2 linked regions of the Arabidopsis thaliana genome follow. The protein of the gene in region 1 purifies or fractionates together with the protein of each later gene. This does not show direct contact. Each region holds a gene or a part of one and is shown on either strand. Other genes may lie near its edges. The genes, in order: AT2G16960 and emb2734.

What was found.
Region 2: the proteins of AT2G16960 (region 1) and emb2734 fractionate together in Arabidopsis thaliana (co-fractionation; one large-scale study listed by BioGRID). This does not show direct contact.

What each region holds. Positions count from the first base shown.
Region 1 is NC_003071.7:7,362,350-7,369,467, forward strand, and holds AT2G16960 (ARM repeat superfamily protein), read left to right. Parts: upstream 1-2,333; coding exon 2,334-2,375; intron 2,376-2,454; coding exon of another isoform or gene 2,455-2,484; intron 2,485-2,692; coding exon of another isoform or gene 2,693-2,707; coding exon 2,708-2,803; intron 2,804-2,873; coding exon 2,874-2,981; coding exon of another isoform or gene 2,982-2,987; intron 2,988-3,070; coding exon 3,071-3,169; intron 3,170-3,251; coding exon 3,252-3,374; intron 3,375-3,996; coding exon 3,997-4,071; intron 4,072-4,163; coding exon 4,164-4,235; intron 4,236-4,341; coding exon 4,342-4,452; intron 4,453-4,682; coding exon 4,683-4,766; intron 4,767-4,880; coding exon 4,881-4,988; intron 4,989-5,140; coding exon 5,141-5,242; intron 5,243-5,360; coding exon 5,361-5,423; intron 5,424-5,499; coding exon 5,500-5,574; intron 5,575-5,660; coding exon 5,661-5,732; intron 5,733-5,812; coding exon 5,813-5,973; intron 5,974-6,064; coding exon 6,065-6,116; intron 6,117-6,198; coding exon 6,199-6,267; intron 6,268-6,362; coding exon 6,363-6,422; and 3 more.
Region 2 is NC_003076.8:6,694,951-6,703,176, reverse strand, and holds emb2734 (ARM repeat superfamily protein), read left to right. Parts: upstream 1-1,821; 5' UTR 1,822-1,929; coding exon 1,930-3,162; intron 3,163-3,317; coding exon 3,318-3,521; intron 3,522-3,597; coding exon 3,598-3,702; intron 3,703-3,815; coding exon 3,816-3,881; intron 3,882-3,965; coding exon 3,966-4,130; intron 4,131-4,223; coding exon 4,224-4,298; intron 4,299-4,388; coding exon 4,389-4,543; intron 4,544-4,753; coding exon 4,754-4,889; intron 4,890-4,971; coding exon 4,972-5,041; intron 5,042-5,128; coding exon 5,129-5,256; intron 5,257-5,344; coding exon 5,345-5,401; intron 5,402-5,731; coding exon 5,732-5,917; intron 5,918-5,987; coding exon 5,988-6,080; intron 6,081-6,316; coding exon 6,317-6,402; intron 6,403-6,489; coding exon 6,490-6,623; intron 6,624-6,708; coding exon 6,709-6,845; intron 6,846-6,938; coding exon 6,939-7,030; intron 7,031-7,119; coding exon 7,120-7,186; intron 7,187-7,284; coding exon 7,285-7,446; 3' UTR 7,447-8,003; and 1 more.

The sequences.
Region 1 (7,118 bases):
CTTCTGAGAGCAATGTCTCTCTTTATGTGAAGGAAAGGCTTGCGAGATATTAAGTGTAACAATGATTTTACACCGGTTAGTCTCAAATCAGAGAGATGTGATCTAGCTTATTCTCATTGCAAACAATAACTAGATTGACAGAGTACTTTGAGCAAAAGGTGTTTTAGAGGTATTTACATTTTTGAATCCAAAATGTGATTGTTTGGATTTGGATCCATGGTTTATACACAAACCAAATTGGATTAATGAGAAAGAACTCTATTAATCAAGTTGCAGTTTTATTATAAATAATAGATTTCTTTTATCAACAATAAGATTTAATTGTTTTAGTACTGACATACAGATCGTTTCGTAAAAGGTCAAATTAAGTTTTTGATAGAAGAGAATTTTTTGTCTTAAAAGACTTATAAATCTGAATCCAAGCCAAAACAAGTAAATCAGAAAAAAAAAAATTAAATAAATTTGAAAAACTTCTATAGTAAAGTTCCGTTAACAAAATAAAAATAACATATATCGATCTATATGTACTATCGTCAAAATCCTAAGGATGTCATTAAATTGATACTTTACATTTTTGGTTTGTTAAAAAACGATGCATATTTTTTTTCTGGAACATACGAGAAAGCGATGTTTGTTTTAAAATAATTTTGGATGAATCAATTGAGAAGGATCAATTAATATATTCATATCAGTATCACCCCTGAGTTTTCTTAAAATAATGAAAGTTGAAAATTCTATGTAGAATTTAAGGAGTTAAAACAAACATGGAATTTAAGGAGTCAAAACAAACAAATCTCTTGAACTCGTTAATTGCTTAAACACCATGTTGTGTAGCGTGTCTTGTGCCGGCGAGACTCGAGGCTGTGGTTTTTTCTCCAACGTCATCATGTCTTTTGACAATGACCAATCTTCCATTTCCCGGATTGTCCATGGTCGTGTCTCCGATCTACCATCTTCTCGCATATGACATTGCGTCTTACAACCCTTTTGCTCCTTTTATTGTTTTTAATCTTGTTGTATCAAACATTGAGAATAGTATTCTCCCAAACCTTGTACTACATTTGAGTTATTGAATGGAAAAACAAGCTTTTGCCCAAAGAAAAAAAAGACAAACATGGATAAAAGAGAAGCATGAGAAAGAGAGACGCTAGCTTTACACTTTTCACAATTTTAGGATTTTGAATAAACATAAAAGATTTTGAAAATTTAGGGTTCTATAAACAAACATCACAATGTTTTATGTAAGAAAAATGTTGTTTTCTAACAAACCAAAACAATAACATCATAAAATAGAATATCGTTTAAACAATATATGTTTAGGCAAAATTATAGAAAAACTATTTTCTTATCTTGATACATTTTTTATTGATAATTTAACTAAAGGGTTTAAAATGGATTAACCGACATTTGGGAAGTTGTTTTATTAAACTAACTTACTTAAGGGTTTAAAATTTAGTTGGAGGCTTAAAATTAGATAAGTCAATAGTTGAAGGTTTTTTCATGAAAGTCTTTTTATTTTGAGAAAATACTATCATACCCATTAAAATTAATCTATTAATAAACATACCATTTTAATTTTTTTTTTTTGGAAAATATAAATCTTAACAAACTAAACCCTATTTACATTTTATTTTTCTTTCTCTTTAAATTAGTCGCCGCCTCCTCTCTCCCTCGGGATTCTCGCTCTGATTCGCCTGTCACTGTCAGCCGTATCTTTCTCTCTCTTTCATCCTTTTTCTCCTTTCTTTCACCCCCTTTCTCTCCTTTCGTATCAACTGTGGGTAAATATATTTTCCTTTTTCGTTCATTTTCCTCTCAATTTGTAAAATCTTATACAAGTTTGTTTATGTAATAGTGTTTACTCAAATATTTCATGTTATTTTGGTGTTAGCTTTACATTTTTTCAATTTATTAATGCTTAAAGATTGTTTAATTTAACATTAGTAGACCAAAATTGGTTAACTGGCCTTATTTTGTCTATTTCAGTTGATCTCCAGAATTTCATGGCATATAAGGCATATGTCTTAAAAAAGCTCAATGAAGAAGTATCTCTTACATCATGTAAATTTTGGTAAATGATTTTTTTCTGTTGTTCTGTTTTTTTTTTAATCAAATTATTTTCTAGCTTGTAAAATTGCTTAACTATACTATTGTTTGCCAGGCCTGCATATTGTGATGCTCAGCTGGAACCAAAGGACTTAAAGGAGTTATTGCCACGCCTGATTCCAGTAAAATGATACTTCTCTTTTTCTTCTACTATTTTTTGGGCACATTCTAGTAGTTTGACATTTTAATAAAATTTGGTTTGGATTTATTAGATGTTGCTCTCAGATATGGCTTATGAAGATGACGATGAGACACTTTTGAATGAAGAGGTTTATTTTCCTTTGGTATTACATGTTTTGTCATCTTTTTTCAAATTATATAACGTACGAAAGAATTTCATTTATGCAGGAGGTTGAATCTCAACCAGACATCGATCAGGTGTAGTTGTTTGTTCTTGTGACTTCAATTATTCTTACAAATTACTTTTATTCACATTAACTTTTTTTTAATATTCTTATATGATTTGAAATCTCGTTTTCCATTAATAGGGTCATTTGATATATGCACACAAGTTGTATATGATAGTCTGAGTTATACAATATAAATATATTAAGTATATACATCATTTCTTAATGACTATCTCTAGGCACAAAATGATAAGGAGTGGAATTTAAGAGCATGCAGTGCAAAATTTATTGGTATTCTCGCTAATGTATTTGGAGATGAAATTCTTCTAACACTCATGCCTCTTATTGAGGTAAATATTATTTCTCTCGGTCTATGGAACTTAAAACAATTAGCTAAGAACATGTTCTTCCAAGCTGCAGGCAAAACTATCAAAATTCGATGATGAGACTTGGAAAGAGAGGGAAGCTGCAGTGTTTGCTTTTGGAGCCATTGCTGAAGGATGCAATAGTTTTTTTTACCCTCATTTGGCTGAGGAAAGTTTGTTTATGATCTTTTGTCTATTCATTATTCTTTCTACGTGAATTAACTTCATCAATATGCTAGTGCCTTGTTGCAGATTGTAGCAATCCTTCGTCGTCTTTTAGATGATCAATCTCCTCTCGTACGAAGGATAACGTGTTGGACACTTTATCAATTTGGCACATATGTTTTTGAGGTATGATTTGAACATGATATTTTTTTTTATTCAACTTATTAAAACAATCTTTAGATGATTCGATACTTTACTTTTTTTATAGGAAAGTAATTTGGAGAATAGTAAACTCTTTACAAAAGTTCTTCATGGTTTTCGTTTCAAACTTTTGGATTCGAACATCTGGGTCCAGGAAGCTGCATGTTTGGCTTTGACAACTTTTGAAGAGGTAACTATTGTCTTTGCATTGTTGTATATTATGTCATGTGTAAAGAACTTTTATAGTGTTTTTTCCACACAATTGTTTTTATATATATAGTGTTTAGCAATAGCTTATTTATTACCATCATACCTGAAAAACTTGAGAGAAACTGAAAGAACCTCTACTCTTGAAGAAGAATTTGAAAGAACAAAGATGCTTGAAAGATTCTTGGTAAAATTTAGAGAACTTCGGTTTAGGAACACTTATGATTAAAAATGGAAAGGAAGAAACTATTTATAAGATCCAAAAGCGTGTAGCAATAACTAACCAACCGTGTCTTATTCTTTAGAATAGTCTACCATAGTATATGTATATATAGGTACAAAATATACTCTATCATAATATATACGTCGAACCATTTACTGTAATATCTAGATTTTTATTTTGTAATTGTTAATTTTACGTAAATATTTAAATATTTGTCACATATCATTAGTATGCCTTGAAAAAGAATAGAAATTGGACCTATTTAGTCTAATAAGATAATTCCATCATGAAGCCAAAGTTAAGTTTCACTTACCCCAATCAAGTTTTATTTTAATAATATAGATGATTGTTGACATAAAGTGATTTTTTTGTGAACATGTAGGATGCTGGTGACAAATTAGTACCACACCTGGAAAAAATATTACAACAGCTAATGCGCGCTTTTGGAAAGTATCAGGTCGTTAAATCTTCTTGTAGTTGACTACATTGACATATTAAACAATTTTTATTTGTGACTACCTAACACACACACTATTTTTATATATTCAGAAGAGGAACTTAAAAGTTCTTCTTGATGCTATTAGAGCACTAGCAGATTCAGTTGGAATCAATCTGAACAAGGTATAATGATTAGGTTTGTGAAAGGTTAATTTGTTTCTTGTGAATTTAAATTTATATATAGTTCTTAAAATATTTTCTACCTACTTAAAACTCACCCGTTATGCAGCGTGCTTATATTAAGATTTTGATTCCCCCACTGGTTTCAACGTTGGAACAAATTTCCAATTCAGATAAAGATGTAATTCCATTGCTGAAGTGCTTCACATCCATTTCTAAGGTATGTTACTACTTTTCAAGCTCCTTAAGATTTTTCATATATTACACGAATGTAATTAGTTTAAATAATCCTAGTAAGTGAAGGTACTGAGATTTTGGTACTCTGGAAGTCCGATATTGCTACTAATATTGGGAGATATGTGAATATTAGACAAGTTTATCTTAACAAAATATTAAAATGTTTGCAACATGAACTATCAATTTACAACTAGTTTTGTTTCCATGTTTCAGGCTTTAGAAGTAGGATTCGCTCCATTTTCTTGGTATGTTTTCGAGAGGTGCATGGATATCCTTCAACTACAACAGCTAGCTAAGGTTCAATTCAGAATTCATTTCATTAGAAACAAATCTTCATTTTATTAGGGCTTATACATAACTATTTCACGTTTCTGTTTTTCGTTTGATCATAGCTTGCTTGTGTTGTTTTAGGTTGATCATGATTTTGCCGGGGTTCAATACGACCAAAATATCGTCGTTTGTTCTCTTGAATTTTTTTCTGGACTTTCTAAAGGGCTTGTCAGTGGGATAGAGTCTCTGGTACTCCCTTTCTTGATGTCTTGTTCACATGATTTTCTACTCATAAGTTCTTATCACTCAGTGAATAATTCAATATATCAAAGTTGTTTGTATAATACGACCGAGTCAATTGTCACAACTGGATGGATACTCACATCATCGCTCTTATGCAGGTTTCACAAAGTAATCTAAGGGATATGCTTCTTAAGTGTTTCATGGATGAAACTCCAGATGTTAGAGAAAGTGCTTTTGCCCTTATTTGTCATCTTACAAAAGTAAGTTGTATATTCTTTTATCTGCCAAAATCTTTACCTTTAACATAATTGTTAAATAGCATGGAAAGTGAGAGCTACTCGTTATATGTAAGGTAATATTTTTTGGCTACACTAACAGGTACTCCCGGATTATCTAGAACCCCGCCTGCTTGAGTTCCTCGAAATCGCCAGCCAACAACTGGTTGGTATATCCAAATTATAATGCTACTATACATTTTTTTTTCTATTGTGTTTGATTGTATCTCTGCTTTGTACAGAGTGCAAATTTTAGCGGAGAAAACCTTTCTGCTGCGAATAATGCTTGTAAAGCAATAGGAGAATTAGCGGTCAAGGTAAAACCAAAATGATATTTCTCTATTTATTGTTGAAGTTTCTGGTAAAGAACAAACTCGTGAATGATATGAACTCAATGTTTCAGTATCCTCAAGAAGTCTCACCAATTGTGACCAATGTTGTCTATTCATTAGGCATGATTATTCAACTCGGAGAGGTGACTCTAACAGCCTTATAAGTTAAAGATTTTACTTGCCATGTCTAATTATGCCTCATTTTTTTGTTTGTGTGAATAAGACACTAGAGTTGAAGAGTTTAACTACACTAGTTGAATACAATGCAATTGAACTAGCTATGAACAGTGCAATTACCGTTGGGATACTAGCACGGATTCGTCCAGACCTCAGTGCACGATCCATTGAGAACTTCATGAAGCCTTGGTGCATGAGATTGGCAACGTTAGTGAACCTTTTTGTTGGATTTGGATTCTTTACATACTCTTCCAACCTCTGCTCTATAAAACAATTTCTTATCGTACTTTCTTTTCAGGTTAGATGATGACAGTACAAAAGAAAATGCATTTCAAGGGTTATGTGAAATGGTATTTCTCTCTTTACTTTTTGCTTTGTTAATATATAACATTGAATAACGTTTGATATTTTTCAAGTTTCTTCATAAATTAGGTTAAGGTGAATCCATCAAGATATGTCAGCTCCGTTGCTTTCATATGCTTAGCGATCGCAAGCTGGAAAGTAAGTGAACAAAAAAGAAAATCCTAACTCTATTAGACTTTTTTACTGAGCTTTGAACAATTGGTTGATACATAAATAATGAATTTTTATCATAGGATATGGAAAACAAGGTCATCCAAAGCGAATTCTCCAAAGTGCTGATAGGCTATAAAAACGTAAGATTTATTGAGTTTAAGTTCAGTTTTAACCATCCATCCAACGCGCTTGTTTGTGTACAATAGAAATGGTTAATGTCTTTTACTTTATCTTTTTGGGTTCAGATGCTTGGAAAAAACTCATGGGAAGAATGTCTCTCTGTTTTGGATCCTCTTGCTAAGGAAAGGCTTGCTGCGAGGTATCAAGTGTGACATTGATAGTAAATCGATTAGTCTCAAATGAGAGAGATCTCATTGCAAACAATATTCAGTGTTTTTGCAAAAGACGTTTCAGTTGCATTATTTTTATAAACAAAATTTGATTATTTGGATTTGGATCCATGATTTATACACAAACTAAATTGGAACAATGATAACTTTTCCAATCAAGTTGTGTGAAACCTGCTATGAAAAAAATATAAAAAAGAAACCTGCTATGAGCTATTTTCTGTAACAGTATAATACATTTATACTTAGTATTATAAGCAACATGCTTTTGATGATTAATCCATAGATCATCATTTAAATAAAAATCATTTACTTTTCTTTGTTGTTGATAAACTAATTTAAATTCCGTTGTACAAAGAAAATGGCCATACAGCCGCCAGGGTGTTACACTCAGCCTAACTATTTATAATCTTTCACGAATTAATATATGATTTACCACAAAGACCAATCAATATATTAATATTAGCACGTGGATCGGATGGAAACCTA
Region 2 (8,226 bases), on another chromosome or scaffold:
GACCGGTGGAGAAGGATTTGAAAAGAGGAGGAAACAGAGAACGACGACTCACGGTTTAATCGGAATTAGGGGTTTAGGTTTGTACCAACACTAATGCACCGGTTTCCAAAATTGGTGTTAACCAATTACGAGTACCATCTAAGAATCACTATGTCATTGCAGGAGTTTCGGCCTCTACCTACAATGATTCTTAATTTTAGATATGCTTTTGTTCCATTCCATTTCATAAACTCGCTTTTCATCCTTTAAAACGCTAAAAGATGGTGAAGGTGAAGACCATTTCTGATTACTTTCATACTTTGTTGACCTAGGTAGGTTGTAGTATGTAGTATGTTCCAAAGCTTGGGATGTTAGCCTTAGCCCATTAAAGTTTTACATGATTTGTTCAGAACGTCTTAGGTAGTTCAGTCTTTCTGTTTACTTTCATTCTTGTCCATCAAATATAGTGTTTTTTTTTCCAACACTCTCATGCCATAAAACTGATCATTAAATAAAAGCAAAGGTCAATCTCTATTTTCCAAATCCTCCACAAAATTCAAAGGAAAAATCTTGAAACACACTTTCATCTATGTCTTTTCCATTACTAAACAAGCATGTGGCCATTTAGTAATTGTACCCAAGGCCAACCCAATCTGACCTAATAGGATTATGCTTTTTTTTCTTTACTTAATATTAAATACAAAATAGTAATGTGTGAAAGTATATAATAAAGAGTTTTTTCAAAAAATATAAAATTCACATAGTTTTAAAAATTATATATCTATATATACATTTTTGCAGCCATTTTGTGAAATAAATCGTGTAGTTGGGACTTAGTTACAATGGTTGCCACTAGATTTTAATGTTTGTTTTTGATAATTAGAATAAAAACTTCGAATTAAATATTTGACATTTAACAATCTTTCTTAAATCACTCAACATTAACTACACCATTAGTTACTAAAATAAAACTTCCAAAATATTTAATATCATCAAACCATAGAGATATTTGATAGCATTTAATTACTACAAAATTACAAAATATTTAGACAATAATTCATAAACATATCATAAATAAGATCAATATTAATAAAATAAATGGTTTTTTTACGGGACGGGTTGGCGGGACGGGTTTGGCAGGACGTTACTTAATAACAATTATAATTATAAAATAAAAATATTTTATAGATATATACAATTTGCAAACTTTTATGTATACTAACTTTAAAAAATAAATTGTTTCTGCAGTATACCGCGGGTTAAAATCTAGTTTATATATATTCGCTAATTTTAAATCAATATTAACCAATACGTTATTCACTCGTTTCAAATACATTAATTCAATAACATTTTTGATATAAAAATTAGATATTAATAAATCATATATTCATATTAAATCCGCGTATTAAATATATTACGATAATTTATAACTATAGTATATTTTTTACTTTTACGTACTTATTTATAAATATATTAATATATACCCTAGGTATGTGAAATTATGAGATTCTGTCATTAGAAAAATATATAAGCTAATGCCACCTATTATTTACCTTTTTTAATAAAGAAAATAATATAAGATAATAATCAAAAATTTATATTCTTAAATAGTTATACCTAGGAAATAATAGAAACTTTAATTTATAAAAAAAAAAGGAAACACGTATTGGTGATCAATTTATCAATCCACCCTTGAAAATACAGCTAATGACATTATCATTGCTTTGCTTTAATTTTTATTTTTCCTTAATTTAATTTACACCACGGCGGCCCCACACCACCCCAAATTACGAATACATAATAGTTGGAAAATAAATGGAAATAAAAATAAAATATATAATTATCCCTTCACAACCTCATCCCTCCTTCGCTACCTTCGGACCTTCCTCATTCCTCCTCTTAGCTTTAGCCACTTTTTAACCCTAGTTTTTCCCGCCGCCACCATCCCCCATGGCTTCCGAGGCGAATCAGCTTCAGCAAGCGCAACTCGCGATGGTTCTCGGCTCCGATTCCGCGCCCTTCGAGACGCTAATCTCTCACCTCATGTCTTCTTCCAACGAGCAACGTTCCTCCGCCGAGTCTCTTTTCAATCTCGCTAAACAAAGCAATCCCGATACCCTCTCTTTGAAGCTTGCTCATCTTCTTCAGCTTTCTCCTCATCCCGAAGGTCGTGCTATGGCCGCCGTCCTTCTCCGGAAGTTGTTAACACGCGACGATGCTTATCTATGGCCTCGTCTCTCCCTCTCCACTCAATCTTCCCTCAAATCTTCGATGTTGTATTGTATTCAACATGAGGAGGCTAAATCGATCTCTAAGAAGATTTGCGATACAGTCTCTGAACTTGCATCCGGGATTTTACCGGAGAATGGATGGCCGGAGTTGCTTCCGTTTGTTTTCCAGTGTGTTACTTCTGTTACCCCTAAATTGCAGGAATCGGCGTTTTTAATCTTGGCTCAATTGTCGCAGTACGTTGGGGAGACTCTTACCCCTCACATCAAGGAACTCCATGGCGTGTTTCTTCAGTGCTTGAGTAGTAATTCTGCTAGCTCCGATGTTAAAATCGCCGCTCTCAACGCCGTGATTAGTTTCGTTCAGTGTCTGGCCAACTCAACGGAGAGAGATAGATTCCAAGATGTTTTGCCTGCGATGATCAGGACGTTGACCGAATCTCTGAACAATGGGAATGAAGCAACTGCACAGGAGGCACTTGAGCTTTTGATTGAATTGGCTGGTACCGAGCCACGGTTCCTTAGACGGCAACTTGTTGACATAGTTGGTTCGATGCTTCAGATTGCAGAGGCTGATTCCCTCGAGGAGAGTACACGTCATCTTGCGATTGAGTTTTTGGTTACTCTGGCTGAGGCGCGTGAGCGTGCCCCTGGTATGGTCAGGAAGCTTCCTCAGTTTATTGACAGGTTGTTTGCTGTTCTTATGAAGATGCTCGAGGATATTGAGGACGATCCTGCTTGGTACAGCGCTGAGACTGAGGATGAAGATGCTGGCGAGACAAGCAACTACAGCATGGGTCAAGAGTGTTTGGATCGGTTAGCAATTTCTCTGGGAGGAAACACCATTGTTCCGGTTGCATATCAGCAGTTTTCTGCTTACTTGGCTGCCTCTGAGTGGCAGAAACATCATGCTTCTTTGATTGCACTTGCTCAGATTGCTGAAGGTTGTTCAAAGGTATAATTTTTAGTGAATAACATGTCTTAATGAACTTTTTCCTTAATTGTTTCATTGTTTTTACTTTCAATTGGATGTTAAATAATGATTGATTCTGAGTTGATTTATCTTTGTGGTTTTCAATCTGATAGTGAATATCTTGAACTTTGATGTAGGTGATGATAAAAAATCTAGACCAAGTGGTGTCAATGGTTTTGAGCCAGTTTCAAAGTCCTCATCCTCGCGTAAGGTGGGCTGCTATAAATGCGATTGGACAGTTGTCTACAGATTTGGGTCCAGATTTGCAAAACCAACATCATGAGAGAGTGCTCCCCGCACTTGCTGCTGCTATGGATGATTTCCAGAATCCACGAGTGCAGGTAAGATCCCCTGTTTCTCTGTGAATATAATCTTCTAACACTTTCTAAAGCAGTACCTTGTGACCTTTTCATGTAGGCTCATGCTGCTTCAGCAGTACTCAACTTCAGTGAAAATTGTACTCCTGAAATATTGTCACCTTATTTAGACGGAGTAGTGAGCAAGTTACTTGTGCTACTACAAGTAAGTCCATTGTGTAAATTATTTCTTAAGATAAATAGCTAAAAAAGAGCAAATATTTTGCACTCTATTGATTTTAAATGATTAACTTTGGATTATAATGGTGTTTCGTACAGAATGGTAAACAAATGGTGCAAGAAGGAGCTTTAACTGCTCTTGCTTCAGTGGCTGATTCATCACAGGTATTTGTAAAGAAGTTGTGTTGCATCTATTGTTTTCCCTACATGCAACTCTTGATCTAAGTCTAACATAATCTAAATTTGTAGGAACACTTTCAAAAGTACTATGATACTGTCATGCCTTATCTCAAAACTATTTTGATGAATGCAACTGACAAGTCTAAGCGGATGCTTCGTGCCAAATCCATGGAGTGCATCAGTCTTGTTGGAATGGCAGTTGGAAAGGACAGATTCAAGGAAGATGCTAGACAGGTATGCTTATATGCGAGGGTCAAATCATGATGCTATCTATATCCAGTAGTTCTATTCATCATCGCATGAAAATATTTCACATATCCATGCCAGGTCATGGAAGTGCTAATGTCATTGCAAGGTTCTCAGATGGAGGCAGACGATCCAATAACAAGTTACATGTTACAGGTGATTTCCTACAACATGCTAGGTCTATCTGTTATTTATAAACATAGAGAGGTAAGTTCGCTTGCTTACATTTACCTTACACTCTCGTAGGCATGGGCTAGGCTTTGCAAGTGTCTAGGTCAAGATTTCCTCCCATACATGAAGGTTGTGATGCCTCCTTTGCTTCAGTCAGCTCAACTTAAGCCAGATGTAACAATTACATCTGCTGATTCAGAAGATGAAGCAGAGGATTCTGATGATGAAAGGTTTCCATTCTTCTTGACACTTATCTGATTGTTATGATATCTCTATGCCTTTGCATAGAAAATTAATTCTTCTCTGTGTTGTTGGGGGTGCAGCTGCCCTGCATTTTTTTCTTGAGATATTTAACGATGTTGAGATTCTGTCCATATAATGATATGATATGTTCATAAATAACATGCATAAATCTGGGCTATTTCCCTCTCTTGATACAGCATGGAGACCATTATCCTGGGCGACAAAAGAATAGGGATCAAAACAAGTGTTCTAGAGGAAAAGGCCACGGCTTGTAACATGCTTTGTTGCTATGCTGATGAGTTAAAAGAAGGATTTTTTCCTTGGATTGATCAGGTTTGTAATGTTAAATAACTCCAAATTGTGTCAATATCTGGTATTGTTGTTGGGTTCGGGAGAGTAAATTTTTATACTGTAGGTTGCACCTACATTGGTTCCTTTACTGAAATTCTATTTTCACGAAGAAGTTAGAAGAGCAGCTGTTTCAGGTATATCAGAAAATATATCATCTATAATCTACTGTTTTGATCATTAGAACACAAGTTTCTAAGAATTTGGATAATTTTTCTTTCTAGCCATGCCGGAACTAATGCGCTCAGCCAAGCTGGCAATAGAGAAAGGGGAATCTCAAGGGCGAGATCTATCATATTTGAAGCAGCTTTCTGACTACATTATTCCAGCCATGCTGGAAGCTTTGCATAAAGTTAGTGTGTGTTCTGTTCATTTTTACTTTTCTCTTTTTGGCTTTGATTCACTTTTTTTGATGGGGCGGAGGATTGTATTTTATGTAGGAACCTGATACAGAGATCTGTGTGAGTATGTTGGAAGCTATCAATGAATGCTTGCAGGTAAATTTTCATTACCAGATGTTGGGACTTCTTTTTTATGTGCTTCTTGAATGCTGCATTTTCCTTGGTAGTCGTGCTGTTTTTTCTTCTTAATTAGGTCACCTATTTGGTTTCTTGTTGTTGAAATCCTCTAAAGAAGACATGGTGGCCTTTTTTGTTTTCTTTGCTTCGTCACTTGTCAATTTTCCTTCTGAGCATAGATTTTCATCCTTTCCTAGGGTTAGGGTATGTGATAGAGATGTTACGTTGAACAAGTCTTTATTGTGTGCCCTCTTGGAGTAAATTGTAGCATTACAATGGAAAATGTTATCTTATAACCTTTGTTTCCAGATCTCTGGAAATCTTTTGGATGAAGGGAAAATTAGATCCATAGTTGATGAGATAAAGCAAGTTATGACCGCAAGCTCTAGTAGGAAGCGAGAGAGGGGAGAGAGGGCCCATGCTGAAGACTTTGACGCTGAAGAGGGAGAGCTTATTAAAGAGGAAAATGAGCAAGAGGAAGAAATTTTTGATCAAGTCAGTTTTCGCTGATTCACCCTTTGAAAGTATACTATCTTCAATGTTCTAATTTTTGTTTTTGAAATAGGTCGGTGAAATATTGGGAACATTGGTTAAGACATTCAAGGCCTCATTTCTACCTTTCTTCGATGAACTGTCCTCTTACTTAACTCCTATGTGGGTATGTGGCCATCATCACCCAAGTCTTTTATTTTGAATTGTTTTTGTTATTGACAGAACCTCGTAGATTCCCTAACATATAAGTACATAACTGAAGTGATATAGTATTAGTGAAAAAGTGTAGAAAATTATGGCACTCTGGTTCAGGTGAATGTAGTTTCTAAATTCTGTGGCTGTTACCATGTCTCTGGTACAATATTAGTCTTCGTTCACCTTATGTGTATTCGATGAATTCAGGGAAGAGATAAAACAGCGGAAGAGAGAAGGATTGCTATATGCATTTTTGATGATGTAGCAGAACAATGCCGTGAAGCTGCCTTTAAGTAAGGATACGCATCCACTGGATCATTTTACATTTGTAGGTTTCCAGTTTTAGAGTTCTGATAAGACACCTTATATTTGTTTGGCAGATATTATGATACCTATCTTCCATTTGTACTGGAAGCTTGCAATGACGAGAGCCCAGAGGTTCGACAGGCTGCTGTTTATGGGCTTGGCGTTTGTGCTGAGTTTGGCGGCTCTGTATTCAAGCCTCTTATTGGAGGTATGACATACCTTTGCCCACTGGTAGGTTTTTGGGCTTTGATCCATACTTGACAGTTAAGTAACACATGATTTTATGTCAACAGAGGCTCTGTCAAGATTAAATGTTGTGATACAGCTGCCAAATGCTCGGCAATCTGAAAATGCCATGGCATATGATAATGCTGTATCAGCCGTGGGAAAGATCTGCCAATTTCACCGTGATAGTATTGATTCTTCTCAGGTAGATTATAATAGTTATTTTGGTTTCGCCATCGTACCCATACATGTGGTTGGTTTTGATGATTCACAAGTTACCTTGTTTTGGTTTTATTAGGTACTTCCTGCGTGGTTGAACTGTTTGCCTATAAGCAATGATGTCCTTGAAGCCAAAGTGGTTCATGATCAGCTCTGCTCAATGGTTGAAAGGTAAGCAATTGCGTTTAGATTCTAATTTTACTTTCGTTTTCATTCCTTATGACTATCTAAAACAGCTTTGATTGATGATAAACTTGCAGGCAAGATGTAGACCTTTTAGGCCCCAATAACCAGCATCTTCCGAAAATCTTAATAGTTTTTGCCGAGGTTTGTTAGTTACGCTTTGCATAGACAATTTTCATTCTTTGATCTTTTGCATTATTGTCTTACTCATAGAGAAAATCAATGTGTATATCGTTGGCCAGGTACTTACAGGGAAAGATGTGGTGACACAAGAGACAGCAGGTCGTATGATAAATATATTAAGGCAACTTCAACAGACACTGCCACCATCGGCGTTGGCCTCAACATGGTCAACGCTGAAACCCGAACAGCAGCTCGCTCTCCAATCCATGCTTTCCTCCTAAATTCAATCCAATCCGATCTCTCTGTTTATTTTTACAGTTTTGTGAGCTCTGTTTTCACCACAAAGCGTCGTCAGTTTTGCATTTATGTGTTTACAAAAGTGTTTCTTCTTCTTTTGCATTTTTCATCTAATTCTTTTGGGAGGGATGATGATGGGTCGGTCCATCCTTCAGAAGTTACAAAATGAAAATTTCTATCTTTATGGTAGGAAGTGTATATTAGGAGGGAAGGATGAAATTGTTAGTGAAATGTGTCATTGGGTATGGTTCCCCAAATACACAGGTCTGCTGTTGGTGTCGGTGTTGGTTTGGGTTTGAGAGTGGGATGAAGTTTTGGTGCTTTATACGAGAAGGAACAAAACAGAAAGATTTGATTTTGAATTTTTGTTTTTGTATGCAATTGGGAATTTTGGAAGAATGATTCTTTTCTCTCATTGCCTTTGTTGATTTGTACTCTTTTGGACACTCTTCTTTGGCCTTTTCTTAATAAAAGAAATGTCTTTTTTATTTAATTTTATTATATCGTTGTCATATGATAAATTTATCAGACAGCAGCTAAGCATGTCAATAAAATGTTTTTTAAGTTTTGTCTGGAAAAATTGATGCGCCGGGCCGCCGGCCACGAGATGGTCACTGCAAAATGTTTGGACCCACCCATTACATTTCTCATTTATACCACACGTCTTTGTTCTCTCACTCACTACAAAAGGTAGCTTCAGGTTTGTATCTTAAAGATTTAGGCATTTCTCAATGAGAAGAAGCCTTAATTGAAGTTTTAAGTTA